Linked DNA regions of Arabidopsis thaliana. The protein of the gene in region 1 interacts with the protein of each later gene in a pairwise test. Each region holds a gene or a part of one and is shown on either strand. Other genes may lie near its edges.

Region 1 (7,591 bases):
TTCTGCACTATTACCCTGCAAATACAAGTATCTATTTAGTGAAGGAAGCACAACAGAATAACCAAAGGACCCAAAAAAGAAAGAAAGCATAAGCCAATATGTTATTAGAGAAGAAACTAACCTGTGGAACACCAACAAACTCATCAAACTGTCTTTGGTTAACCCCGGGTGCATCTGGGATTTCATTGAGAAGCTTCTCAATATCCTCTAACTGAAGTTTGACAGGATTGCAAAATTTAGTATCATCCACACAAGGACCATTCTCATAACGGACCACGGGATAATCCGGTACAGCGACACTATCTGCATCTTCACTATCACTATCAACCCATTCTTCTTCTTGGAACGGAGCACCATACTGTTCACCATTCTTAGGACCAGCCCCACTCTTCTTATAAAGCTTATAAAGAGCATAATACTCCTGAAGGTAAGACAGATTAGTTAAACTACAAATAAATCAAAAAGAGAAACAGATGAGTTTTGGCTATAATACTAACCTTAGCGTTCTTACATCTCCCTAGCTCTTCTTCATCCATAGTGTACTCATGCATCACCCAGTCAGTTCTCTCACCATTAGGAGCACGACCTCTATAGAAAACAAGAGTCTTCTTGAGTCCAACAGATCTTGAATTGTACTCAATGACTCGATCCTTTCCTGTCGCCTTCCAATAACCAGTTGCAGTACCTCTACTTGACCTAGCTGCGTTAGGATACTTCCTATTCCTTGGAGTGAAAAAGAACCACTGTCTATCTCCCGTCTTCAACATCGATAGACCTGTTACATTCACCGTGTTAGAAAACCAATTCCAACATAAATTTGATACTTGCATAACAAATAAACAAATTGGAAACCTAAACATTGTGAAAATGAAATCATATGAGCATAAATGAGGATCGATACGAATTAAATAGTGAATAAAGACGTTTCCTTGTCATATACTCAACAAATCATCAACAACCAAAACTTTTCCTTGTCATATACTCAACTACATCATTAATAACCTAAACTAATTGATCACGATACGTAGAGAAAACATGAATCAAAATCGATAAGAAGGTGTTGAAAATTACCAGGCAATTCAGAAGGATCGACTTTGTAAACATCAACGACACCAATGGCATTGACTCGAAGTTTTTTACAACAGATCTTCCTCTTAAGATAATAAACCACAAGCTCTTCATCAGTAGGGTGAAATCGAAAACCTGGAGCACTAAACTTACCAGCTTTGAAACACGAATCACGAGAAGAATCAACCATCTCGATCGGGGTCAACGAGAAGTAAACCCTTTGAAACAGAACACACAACCTAAAACCCTCTTTCTCTCTTCGCCTCTTAGTGGAGACAACAAGATCAAACTTACATAACAGTGGAAGAAATTCTAGGGTTTTTTGATCGGCGGTAGATAGATTTTGGATAGAGTCAAAAAAATGATTTTGTTTGTGATTATATGTGTCAGCTTTTTTCTGACTAACGAAGTTTCCGAGAATCTTACTGGGCTTTTGGAATTACACGCCCAAAGGGGCCAAACTGATAAATTTTAATATTCGTTAATTTGTTGTTGTTACAAAGGAACTAAATGTTGAATCCACCACTCACTACTATTTTTCAAACTTACAATAAAATAATCGTATAAAATCAAATAAAATAAATTTTGTAGAGTAAAAACTTGTACAATATAAATTTGTAGCATCAATTCACTTCAATAAATTTTATGTGACTGATTACATTTTGTAAGATAACATAATTTACTATTACATTATTCATAATAACTTAATAATATTTGATATATTAGTTAGTATTTGATAAAGGTATTGAAAGTATATAAATAGTGCTTAGAAGTTATGAAAGTCTTAATATTATTGTAGAAAGTAACATATTTTTCATTATAAGATTTTTTTTTTTTTTTTTACAATTGTTAATATATTTTCCAACCGAAAAAATTAAAAAATCCCATAATAGAGTGCAATTCTTGCAGCTCCCATGAAGAGAGTGAATAATCCAAAGACGGGAAGAGTAAGCTTTGAAGACGAGATAGCTATATAGGACCGAATATCGGCAAACGATCTATTCGATTAATGGAATGAACAACCTATGCATATAGAACTTTATTCTTATTCTAAACAAAAACTAGGAGACAAACAAAAAAGGACAAAAATTACAAGACATCTAAACCTAAATGTGGCAAAAACATATGGATTTATTTAGTTATGAAGACTCACAAATCTATAAGATCAAGGATGAGAAAAAAGAAAAATCGACATGTGAATCAACGTTCTCTATGCAGTTGTAGAAGATGTTTTAATTTTCACCTCTTGTCATGTGGAAAATTCTCGAAAAATCCATGAAGAACTCGTTCAATTCTCCAGAGAGCTTTTGTGAGGGATTCTGATCACTGGTAAACAACATTAGAGAAGGATTCATCCCAAAATGAGGAGTTATTCGACAACTAGTAATAAGCATCCAAGCAAACACGCTAAAAAAAAATTAATCTTAATTACAAACAATGGAAAACAAAAAGAGAAATAAACAACATCGTCGAAATCAAAAGATTCTGGACACTAAGAACTAATTAAAACAATAGAGAAATTATCAGATTAAGCCAAAAAGATAGTAGCATGAACAAAGATAGAATATATATAGTTATAGATATATATTAATTCAATAGAATCAATATTTACGAGGTTTCCACTTTCCATCTAATCGAGTCAAAATTAATAATAACCTATAACCCTAATTACTTTTTGTAAAACTCATTAAACAACTGTTGGGCTTCTTTGACCGTGGAGTTTTAGTAGGTTCTTAATTTCCCAAAATACATTAATTTCTTGCGTGTAATATGGTAGCTTTATTATGTATATCTTTTGGTGACTTAATAAGGTCTTAATTCTCTATAAATACATGCTTATTGTATACATCAACTACACATCAAATTAAAAAATTACTCTGTGATTGGTAGCCGGATCTAGAGAAAAATAGTCTGCCTGGTATTTTAATCCCTAATTTAAATTTTTTCACTCAAATCATATACGATTTTTAAAATAGTTTAATAGTTTGTAGTAATTTCTTCTCATTTGTGATGGAAAGATATAATTTTCTATTACAAAAATTACTTTTTATCTTTTATCCTGTCAATAAGTGTACTCTTAACAAAAAAAAAGATTTTGATGATTTTCTTGCTTTATGATTCACAGAATATCGATCTTTGCAATAAGAGCTCATGGAAAATAATGGAGAAATGAATGCACAGCCTGAATTATCAGGCATAAGTAAAGATTTTTTTTTATATATATTTTGTCTGAACTTATTTTATATATTAAATATGAAACAACCATATATTTTGTTTCGTTTTACTAGTTGATATAACCAAGACTTATATGTATGAGAAATTATGGAACATATGTGCTGGACCTTTGTGTGTTCTTCCGAAACCTGGAGAAAAAGTTTATTACTTTCCTCAAGGGCACATCGAGCTCGTGAGTCTATATATATTTCTTTTGTTTTGCTTCTCGATTTGGTTTTTGAAACATTTTGATGGCACTTTTCAGATTGAGAATTCTACAAGAGATGAATTGGATCATATCAGGCCAATTTTTGATCTTCCATCTAAGCTTCGATGTCGTGTTGTGGCTATTGATCGTAAGGTATGTCTTTAAATGTTCAAGAGTTAACACATAAGTTACAATTTATTATTTTGCATGCTTTATTTCACTGTAGAAAGATCTAATTTTGTTGCTTGCTTTATGTTTATTATAGGTAGACAAAAATACAGATGAAGTCTATGCTCAGATTTCGTTAATGCCTGATACAACAGTGAGTGACCGCAACAATGCTAACTTCAAAATTAATTCTAATGTTTCTCAATTGTTTCAAATTTTCTTCAATTTTCACTTAACTAATTTTTTTAAATTGTAAATCTTTAGGAAGTTATGACCCATAATACTACTATGGATACTCGAAGACCAATAGTTTATTTTTTTAGTAAAATTTTAACGGCGTCTGACGTCAGTTTAAGTGGTGGATTAATTATTCCCAAACAATATGCCATTGAGTGTTTTCCTCCGCTGGTAATTCTGCTTAGTTTATCTATTGAATAAACTCGAATTTGAGTTTCAGTATTACATTTTCTATTCGATTTGTTTCTCTAGGATATGTCCCAACCAATATCCACACAAAATCTTGTTGCAAAGGATCTCTATGGTCAAGAATGGAGTTTCAAACATGTCTTTAGAGGTATTTAATATTTTTCTTCACCCGATAATATTGTAATTAGTAACTATGGATCTTCTTTTTGCATGTAGGTACACCGCAGAGACATATGTTTACTAGCGGCGGCGGCTGGAGCGTATTTGCAACAACAAAAAGATTGATTGTTGGGGATATATTTGTACTCCTTAGGTATGTTTTTGTCTTTTTACATCTCTTCTCTTTTTTTGGATATTAGAATTTAAACTATTTTCTTGTTTTTTCAGAGGAGAGAATGGGGAGTTACGATTTGGTATTAGGCGAGCAAAGCATCAACAAGGCCACATACCTTCATCAGTAATATCAGCAAATTGTATGCAACATGGAGTAATAGCTTCAGTAGTGAATGCTTTTAAAACCAAATGCATGTTCAATGTGGTTTATAAGCCAAGGTGATTCAGAATAGTACTTAATTTACATTTTACAGTCTGCCAATATATCATGATATTAGCTTCTTCAACCAAATGTATGTTTACATTTTGTTTTTTCATATAATATTAGTTCAAGTCAATTTGTTATAAGCTATGACAAATTTGTTGATGCAATGAACAATAATTACATTGTTGGTTCGAGATTTAGGATGCAGTTTGAGGGTAAGGATTTTTCTGAAAAAAGGTAAAAAATTTAATCAAAACTTTTTTTCTCTATTTCCAAAATTTGTTATTTGCATAACACATTTTGTTTTATTTACTAAGATACGATGGGACGATTATTGGTGTAAATGACATGTCTCCTCATTGGAAGGATTCAGAATGGCGAAGCCTAAAAGTAATATAATCTTCATACTTTCATGACATCTTTCAAAATACATTTTTGAGTGTAATAAATAACATATGACTAATCAACTATGTTTTTGTAGGTGCAATGGGACGAGCTTTCACCATTTCTAAGACCTAATCAGGTTTCACCTTGGGACATCGAGCATCTAATTCCTTCGTCAGATATCTCTCAATCAAGTTTGAAAAAGAAAAAACATTGGCTTCAATTGAATGAAATTGGTAAAAGGAAACATGCTTATAATCATTGGTTTGATAAGTTTATGCTTCCTCATGAAAATATCTTTCTCATTCTAGATATTTTCATATATAGGTGCAACATTATCGAATCTTTGGACATGCCAAGAAATTGGACAACGGAGCATGAATTCTCCTATAAGTGTTCCTGAGTTTAGTTATCCCAATGCAATTGAAGATTCAAAGTTTCTTTCTGGTTTGCTACTGAATCACTCACTCCTAGCCATACCTAATGAAAACTATAACAGCGACCAAATGATTCAACCAAGGAAAGAAGATATAACAACTGAAGCAACCACTAGTTGCCTCTTGTTTGGAGTTGATCTGACCAAAGTATCAAAGAGCAAAGATTCCATCTGTCCAATTGAATCATGCAAAAAATCAGAAATTTCAAAACTCAAAAATCAAAAAGCAACCACTAGTTGCCTCAAGATAAAAAGTTTGACCAAACCCAACCTCTGAGATCACCAAAAGAGGTCCAAAGCACGGAATTCAATTTTACTAGAAGTCGTATTAAAGTAAGCATAAAATCATTATATCTGTAACATATGACTTTTTTTTTAAAATGTGAAACTAGTGCATTCAAGCAAGCATTCGCCGAAAAAAATATATTTTAAGAAATTTTGATAAGAAACATACATATTAGGTAACTTAGTATTTTTAGATATCAAATATATATTTGATAAGAAAATTTCGTAAAGCTTTCACATGATTTTGATGTGGTATGTTCTAACAGGTTCATATGCAAGGTGTAGCCATAAGTAGAGCTGTGGATTTAACTGCTATGCATGGATACAATCAGCTGATACAAAAACTGGAAGAACTCTTTGATCTCAAAGACGAGTTACGAACTCGCAATCAATGGGAAATAGTTTTTACAAACAATGAAGGAGCTGAGATGCTTGTCGGGGATGATCCATGGCCGTATGTTTTCTTTCTCTTTCTATATATTGAAACCCATGTTAAAATATTGAGAAAATGTCATTTTGAAAATTGTGTGCATCCAGTGAGTTCTGCAATATGGCGAAAAGAATATTCATATGCTCAAAAGAGGAGATAAAGAAAATGAAGTTGAAGAACAAATTCTTTCAACCTGAATCAAAAGCTTTAACATCTTCAGACGTACCACCAAACGTCACAGATAACTAACCTTTCTTATAAAGATAAGAGAGCTGAAAATTGGAAGAGAGGGTTTTGTTTTAAAATTTCGTAAGCAAAAAAAAAAACAGTTTTTTGTTCCGTGATGTAGTAAAGGGTAAGAGAATGAACCCATGTTTTTATGTTGTTTTTGTCGACAGTGATGTTGTTTGAGTCTGTAATATTTATGTCTTCATCGTTTCTAAATGAAAAATTGTCCTTGTTATCGTCGTATTATCTGCTTATCGTTGCTACTACTAATGATTTGAGTATATACATCTTACTCTAACTATTGTAGTGTACTTAAAAAAAGAGAAATCTTTGAAATACATTTTAAAATTGCCACCCTCTTAATTTTGTAACGTTACCAAAAATCTCTGCAAGAGCAAGAACCATCTTTGAACCTATGAAACCGAACTCGATCCCTAACAATGATCTCTCTCTTATAAATCTTAGAAATATGTTTGAAAACAACGTGACAGTCCCCACAAATTCTCAGGTTGTTTATAACTCTCACCGGACTCTCCTCGTCCGCACCATCCATCATCATCAGTCCGTAGGCCACCGCCAATTTCTCGCTGTGATAGCACAAAGCGTTCTCTTTCTCTTCCTCTCCTATGTCGTGCAACACAAGTCCTGTCTGCGCCACGTAACCATCCTCTCTTATCTTGAACCTATCCTCATCAACCAAAATAACAAGAAAGCAGTAAATCAAAAGCATTAAAATTCACCAATCTCAGCTCTTAGAACTTGTTCTGTACCTGATCTCATCGATCTTCTCATAAATCTCTCTCCACTGTTCATGGCTCTTGTCACTGTTGTAGAATTCATGAATCGTTCCTTTGGCTTCTATGTAGCTAAGACCTGGAATTTTCTTCACTTGTTTGCTTTCCATATCATCTCTCACTCGTCCTACATCTTTCCACCGTCCCTGCGCAGCATAAACATTCGATAGCAACACAAAATCACCATCATTGTTAACTCCCATTTCCTTTATTTCCCTAGAAGCAATCTCAGCCATTTCAACATCACTATAAATCTCCGAAGCTCCAAGAAGGCTCTGCCACAAAACAGGATCCGGAATCATCGACATTGAACATATGATATCGTGAGCTTCTCTCAACCTTCCTGCACGGCTTAACAGATCAACCACACAACCATAGTGCTTCATGTTACGCTCAACGCCCTTACAAGCCA
Region 2 (6,074 bases), on another chromosome or scaffold:
TACTAACAAAAAAGTTATAGTATAACTTTATTATTTTAACAGCTCATTTATTTTACATAATTCGTTTTTTGTTTATTCATTTTTTTATGATTATAAGTAACAAAAATATGCACTAAATGAATGTTTAAATTTATTTTAACATAAAATAAATAGTGTTGCTTATATGGATGCTTAGATGGACACCCTAAATGGAGAGAGGACTCTCCTATTATATATATACAGGTTAAACATTATGCAATGAAACCAAAGTTTTTCATTTCAAATCGAACCCAAAGTCTTGCCACAATTCAAATAAAAACTACAATATAGAATATGGATTGATGATTGTTATTTGCTTCCATATTTCAAAACTATATGATCTATCTCTTGTAACTCTTAAACTGTTTGTTTTCTAGTTTGCACTCTAGAATTGGTCTTATATTGTTAGTTTGTTACCGACTTTTTGTAGAATATCAGTTATACTAGTCTCATGTATATTTACAAAATTTTGTAATAAATTCATATAATTTTACTTAGTCAATAACTGGACTTTTTCCTTGTAATTTGATAAGTATTTATTTGGCTGGTAACAAAAACAAAATAATTAGTAATTTACAGTAGATCCCTTTATATAACTATTGTATCTAGAAATAGTTGTACTTCTACGTATTGGGGAGTACCCCGAGTTTTGTGTAACAACTTCCGCTATATATTGTAAAGTAAAAAAATACCAATGAAGTTTGCTTTCCTTATCTGCCTAATTGTTACATCAGGTAAAATTTATATTTCACGTGTGAAGCAAATAACAAAAATCTATATACAAAATTTGTTATTTATAGTTTCTGATTTTGTAGTGATGAGTATCGTTACTGTTCGAAATGTTGAGGCGAAAAGGTTATTACTTGAAGAAATTCCTCAGTTGCATCATGAAGGTTCGCCGCAGGTAGTGAAATTACTGGATGATGACTGCATGGATGGATGTCATATGAAATGTATTCCTAACAACAGAATTACTCCTTGTTTATGTCTATGTTAATTTTCCGTTTTCTTTTTTGAATAAGATATGTTTTCACTAATAATAAAACTTTGTTGCATAGTCCATACAAAAAATATTGAACATTATGTAAAAAAATTCAAAAAAGATAGTTAAGAACAAATTCAACATGGAAGAGGTGATGCCTAATTTTTCATCAAACCAGCCACCATTAGAATAATCACTAGGATGATATAAAAGCATATATATTGCCCACCAACTATAACTTATGAAGCTGTATATGTATGATCATGTGTGTAGCTGTTTTATATCATTTATTGGATCCAACGGTGGATCAATCCAACATAGAGTCCAAAAGAACCGGAACCGGAGAGAATGCCATGAACCGGTTTGTTGTTAGATACGTCTCATTTTCAGTATTTGATTTCTAGCTAAATAAGCTAGTCATGAACTTAAATCTCTAACGCCAACCATGCAATGAAACCAACTTTTCACATTTCAAATCGAACCCAAAGTCTTGTCGTCTACCGTGTAACAATAAATACCAAACTCACTACCTTTAAAATTCTCCTTTTTGAGACCAATTCGGATAAAACCAACAATCTCCTAAATGTTCACTTCCCAAATGTCGTAATCCATAAATCATACTCAAGAAGAAGGATTTAGACTATTAGGAGGTCATGTGCCAAAAATAACATAATACTAATGATAAATTAATCACAAATATTTAAGCACCATTTAGAATCATCAATCACAGTGGATTAGTGTTGGATTTGATTCTATTGAAATCCATGACTGAATAATACCCCTTAATGTGTAACGATTCAAAACTTTTTCTACAGAAAAAAAAAATTTGAAATCGAGACTAAACAAACTTAGGATAAAAAAATAGTCTTGAACATAGGTTTTCAAATTTGGTCCTCCAAAGAGATTAGGTTAGGTTTGGTTTACATTGGTTCACTAAAGCATGACAAGTACATAAACTGCCTTGCTGTAGTAACATGAAAACAAAGTCAGAGAGAAATCAAAACCCAAAACGATAAGACCCCATAGATAATGAACTGTCTAAAGACAAAACCTTTTGGCAAGATTTCTTGTCAGTTTGTTCCTGGATTCATATATATAAAGATCATTAGAAGTTTCATAGAGACAGAGAGACAAATTAAGTTGGGACTTTCATGAAAACTAGTAAAGAAAAACAAATAGTATAATTTTAACTCAAATACTATTTGTTTTTCTTTACTAATACTCTCGAAAGTCCCAACTCAAATACTAGTTGGACACACATGAAGCTACCAATCAGACCCAATGAAACTCAAAATCTTATCCTCCAAACACAGAAAAAAAGACTATGAATATGTTTGACTTTAGACAGCTAGAGTTTCAACTCAATTGACTAGGATGATCTAATCCTGATATCACATGAACCACAAATAGATGAAAGAGTAAGTTCTTGGCTTTAAGAGAGAGAGAGAGAGGTGACAAATGCATATGGCAGACCACAGTACATGTAATGCTTACCCTACAATAACTCAATGCTTGAACAAAAGAGAAAGGTTTTTTATATTCTGCACATGAGTGTACCATACTCTACCCCACTTCCTTGAATTAGGGCTACAGAGAAATGAATCTAGACCGTCCTCTAAAATCAAAGAAAGTATCTTTCTTTGTGTTGAAGATGAAAGTGTCCCACAAATGTCCCCAAAATGATGGGACACACTTTGCCTCAAAGTTGCTGCTACTGTTTACTACCCGACAGCTTTAGCTTTTGCCTTTGTCCTTAAATCAAGTTAATCCCATTTTTTCTAAATTACCAAAAAAGTGACTTTTCAATTCCTATAAAACAATCTTCTTCACAAAGCCTCTTATCTCATCAACAAGTCTTTCTCTCTCTCTAGACAACCACAAGAACACAAAACACACAAAAACAAAGAGGTTCTTTCTTTGAAGAAGAAATGGAAAAAGTTGATGTTTATGATGAGCTTGTTAACCTAAAGGCAACAGAGCTGAGATTGGGATTACCAGGGACAGAAGAAACTGTTTCTTGTGGAAAAAGCAACAAAAGAGTTTTACCTGAAGCTACTGAGAAAGAGATTGAATCCACTGGAAAAACTGAAACCGCTTCTCCTCCAAAGTAAGTGTTTGAATCAAATACAACTTCTCTGAAAATGTGTGTTGAGTTGTGAATCTGATCTAATCTAATCTATGCTATTTCTTGTTTTATAGGGCTCAGATTGTTGGATGGCCACCAGTTAGATCTTACAGAAAGAACAATGTTCAGACAAAGAAGAGTGAATCTGAAGGTCAAGGAAACTATGTGAAAGTAAGTATGGATGGTGCTCCATATCTAAGGAAGATAGATCTAACGATGTATAAACAATATCCAGAGTTGATGAAATCACTTGAAAACATGTTTAAATTCTCTGTGGGAGAATATTTTGAGAGAGAAGGATATAAAGGCTCAGACTTTGTACCTACTTATGAAGACAAAGATGGTGATTGGATGCTTGTTGGTGATGTTCCTTGGGAGTAAGTACAAATTTTCATTTATCTCTCAAATTAGTTAACTTATGACACAATCTTGTTTATGTATTTATGGTGTTTTGTTGTTATTGCAGGATGTTTGTTTCGTCTTGTAAGAGGCTAAGGATCATGAAAGGATCTGAAGTTAAAGGTTTAGGTTGTGGTGGTCTTTAACAAACCTAATTGAGAGATAAAGATCAAAGAGAAAGATTCAAAAACAGAGTTTTTTGTTCTGTTTCTTGAAACAGAGTAAATATAGCTCTGAAACTGCTCGGGTTCTTGGGGAGAGATGTTTCATACAATCATACTTTGTGAATGTTTACCTCATCGGTAAAAAGAGAGATGCTTAAAATGGTCTTAAGCATAAAAGTGTGAGAAAGATCTAAATCTAAACTTTAGCTGTAACTCTGTCTCCATTAAAGAGAAAGGTTTTGTGGTATTAGAAAGATCTAATCTGAAGATTATCTTTGTGTTTTTCACTTTTTATAATGTTCTTATCGAACAACTTTGATGTTTTTGATGTAATTACCCATTTTTCTGTTCTGTTTCTCTTCAAATTAAGATCTGTCTTTACAAAACTGTAACACAGAACATTAAACCTAACTTGTAGATGAACACAACGAAGACAAATCATTAAACCAAAGCTGCTTTATGGTAAAAATAATAATCCCAGCTTCTAAACATATATCATTGGATTCTAGTTTCTTTAAACTTAGATTATACATGTTTAGTCACCAAGATTAAAGAAATAAGAAATCTAATCGAGCAGTGAGAATATTTTTGGGGCTTTGGAAATGTTTATATTATCTTTTGTTGTTACCAACTGTGACTTTGGTCCCCCATACCTTAAACAAGTAAATCTACCCAACTGTGCTAATTTGTCTCCACTATCACTTATAATAATCTATGAACCTTGGAACTAGAGTAATATTTTAAAATGGTATAGATAGGTTCATTGAATTTAGGTTTTTCCTTTGTGCACCAACAATTTTTACATTCATACCTAATGTTCTTGATGCAAGATGATTATTAAGTCAAGAATTTTACCAAATACTTAAACCTAGTTGTCTCGATGATGATGATGATGATTATGATGAGACAACAATCGATCAACAAAAGAAGGATTCAAGATTCTTGATGAGATTGGAAAACTGAATCTATATTTCTAACAAAAGTTTTTGTAATCTTCTTCTGTGGAACATATATATAAATGAGAGATTTAAGAAGAGTATGATCTTTGATCATCAGTTTCTGACTCTAACAAGGTTAGCTCTTGACCTGTTTGGTCGTTGCTACTACCACCAGAGATTGTCATTATTGGTTCAGACTGAGAAGTAAATCCTTCTTCTTCCTGTGGTCTCTTCTCCACTGTTTGATCCGAGATTAACACAATTGAACTGCTTGTAACTACCGGTTTAGGTTGATTAACATCTTCACGATCTGTCTTCTCCGGTAGAACATACGAAAAACCATATTTCTGAGCATGTGTTAGTCCTGGACATAAACCCTACAAAAACCCCAAAACAAAAGAAACTGACTTTGATGAAAGAAAGAAATATTTTTATTTCTGGTACTGGCCTTTATCAAACCGGTAACTGGAAAAGATTCGTGGTAAGGAATCCGAAAGAAAGAAAGAAACATTTTTATTTCTGGTACTGACCTTTATCAAACCGGTAACTGGAAAAGATTCGTGGTAAGGAATCCGAAAGAAAGAAAGAAACATTTTTATTTCTGGTACTGACCTTTATCAAACCGGTAACTGGAAAAGATTCGTGGTAAGGATAATCGTTACTGTGATCATCGTTACTACTGTCTTCTCCAAGGACTTCTTGTTCTAGTTTTGTGGAATTGCTTGGACAGTATCCACCAAAGTAAGAGCAATGTTCCCGAGCTAGAGATATTTGTGGTGTTATTGGTAAGAGATGACCCTCAGTACTGAAGATGTACCTGAAGATTAAGTAAAATTATCAAGATTAGTGAATTGTTGTGGTGTTTGTGAAAATCAAGAGGTTAATGTGGAGGAGATATTTATACTTGTAAGGGCCATTGTCTACGAGGTTATCCGAGTCAACAGCTAAGTCAAAGAGTAGCCATAAGTACTTCACCTGAAATATTTTTGAAACAAAAACAAGTCAAGGCTTTAAGGTAAGCAAGTAAATGCATATTGAGAAACAGAGCTTTTCATGTATTTTACCGTTTCTGCGAGGAAGAAGCTCTCCATGTGATCTTCTTGTTTATGCAGTTCTACATCTGTGATGTGACAATAACCGCAAGGACATTTTGCCCCGTATTGCAAACTAGCCACAAAGTCACGTCCTGCATCAAGATACCTGTCGACGAGTAATTTGCATTGTGCAATTCAGTAGTGTGATCATCTTTGGATGAAGAATTGAAAAAAATATAACTAATTAATTTGGTGACCTGGGATCTCTGGTAGCTTTGTACAACCAGTATGTACTCTCGATTAATTCCGGCCTTAAGGGATAACTCTTTTGCCCATACTGTAAGGAAAATGAAGAATAGATATGAAGCTGTAACATCATAGTGCCATCAGACGTAATAAGTGACAAGTGATCAC

The links.
Region 2: the proteins of ARF13 (region 1) and ATAUX2-11 interact in a two-hybrid assay, tested with the Arabidopsis thaliana proteins (one large-scale study listed by BioGRID).

Annotation. Positions count from the first base shown.
Region 1 is NC_003070.9:12,442,393-12,449,983, reverse strand, and holds ARF13 (AUXIN RESPONSE FACTOR 13), read left to right. Parts: upstream 1-3,219; coding exon 3,220-3,262; intron 3,263-3,356; coding exon 3,357-3,475; intron 3,476-3,547; coding exon 3,548-3,643; intron 3,644-3,755; coding exon 3,756-3,812; intron 3,813-3,922; coding exon 3,923-4,066; intron 4,067-4,147; coding exon 4,148-4,232; intron 4,233-4,300; coding exon 4,301-4,397; intron 4,398-4,471; coding exon 4,472-4,636; intron 4,637-4,745; coding exon of another isoform or gene 4,746-4,823; coding exon 4,824-4,859; intron 4,860-4,939; coding exon 4,940-5,012; intron 5,013-5,103; coding exon 5,104-5,242; intron 5,243-5,333; coding exon 5,334-5,590; coding exon of another isoform or gene 5,591-5,719; exon of another isoform or gene 5,720-5,775; intron 5,776-5,993; coding exon 5,994-6,181; intron 6,182-6,264; coding exon 6,265-6,406; downstream 6,407-7,591. Other genes in the region: NAC016 (NAC domain containing protein 16), read right to left, coding at 1-15, 122-421, 498-775, 1,036-1,258; AT1G34160 (Tetratricopeptide repeat (TPR)-like superfamily protein), read right to left, coding at 6,759-7,068, 7,156-7,591. UniProt on the Arabidopsis thaliana protein: Auxin response factors (ARFs) are transcriptional factors that bind specifically to the DNA sequence 5'-TGTCTC-3' found in the auxin-responsive promoter elements (AuxREs). Could act as transcriptional activator or repressor.
Region 2 is NC_003076.8:17,547,537-17,553,610, forward strand, and holds ATAUX2-11 (AUX/IAA transcriptional regulator family protein), read left to right. Parts: upstream 1-2,642; 5' UTR 2,643-2,928; coding exon 2,929-3,107; intron 3,108-3,199; coding exon 3,200-3,502; intron 3,503-3,591; coding exon 3,592-3,670; 3' UTR 3,671-4,179; downstream 4,180-6,074. Other genes in the region: AT5G43695 (uncharacterized protein), read left to right, coding at 713-752, 834-1,015; AT5G43710 (Glycosyl hydrolase family 47 protein), read right to left, coding at 4,716-5,003, 5,239-5,443, 5,531-5,601, 5,691-5,826, 5,918-5,997. UniProt on the Arabidopsis thaliana protein: Aux/IAA proteins are short-lived transcriptional factors that function as repressors of early auxin response genes at low auxin concentrations.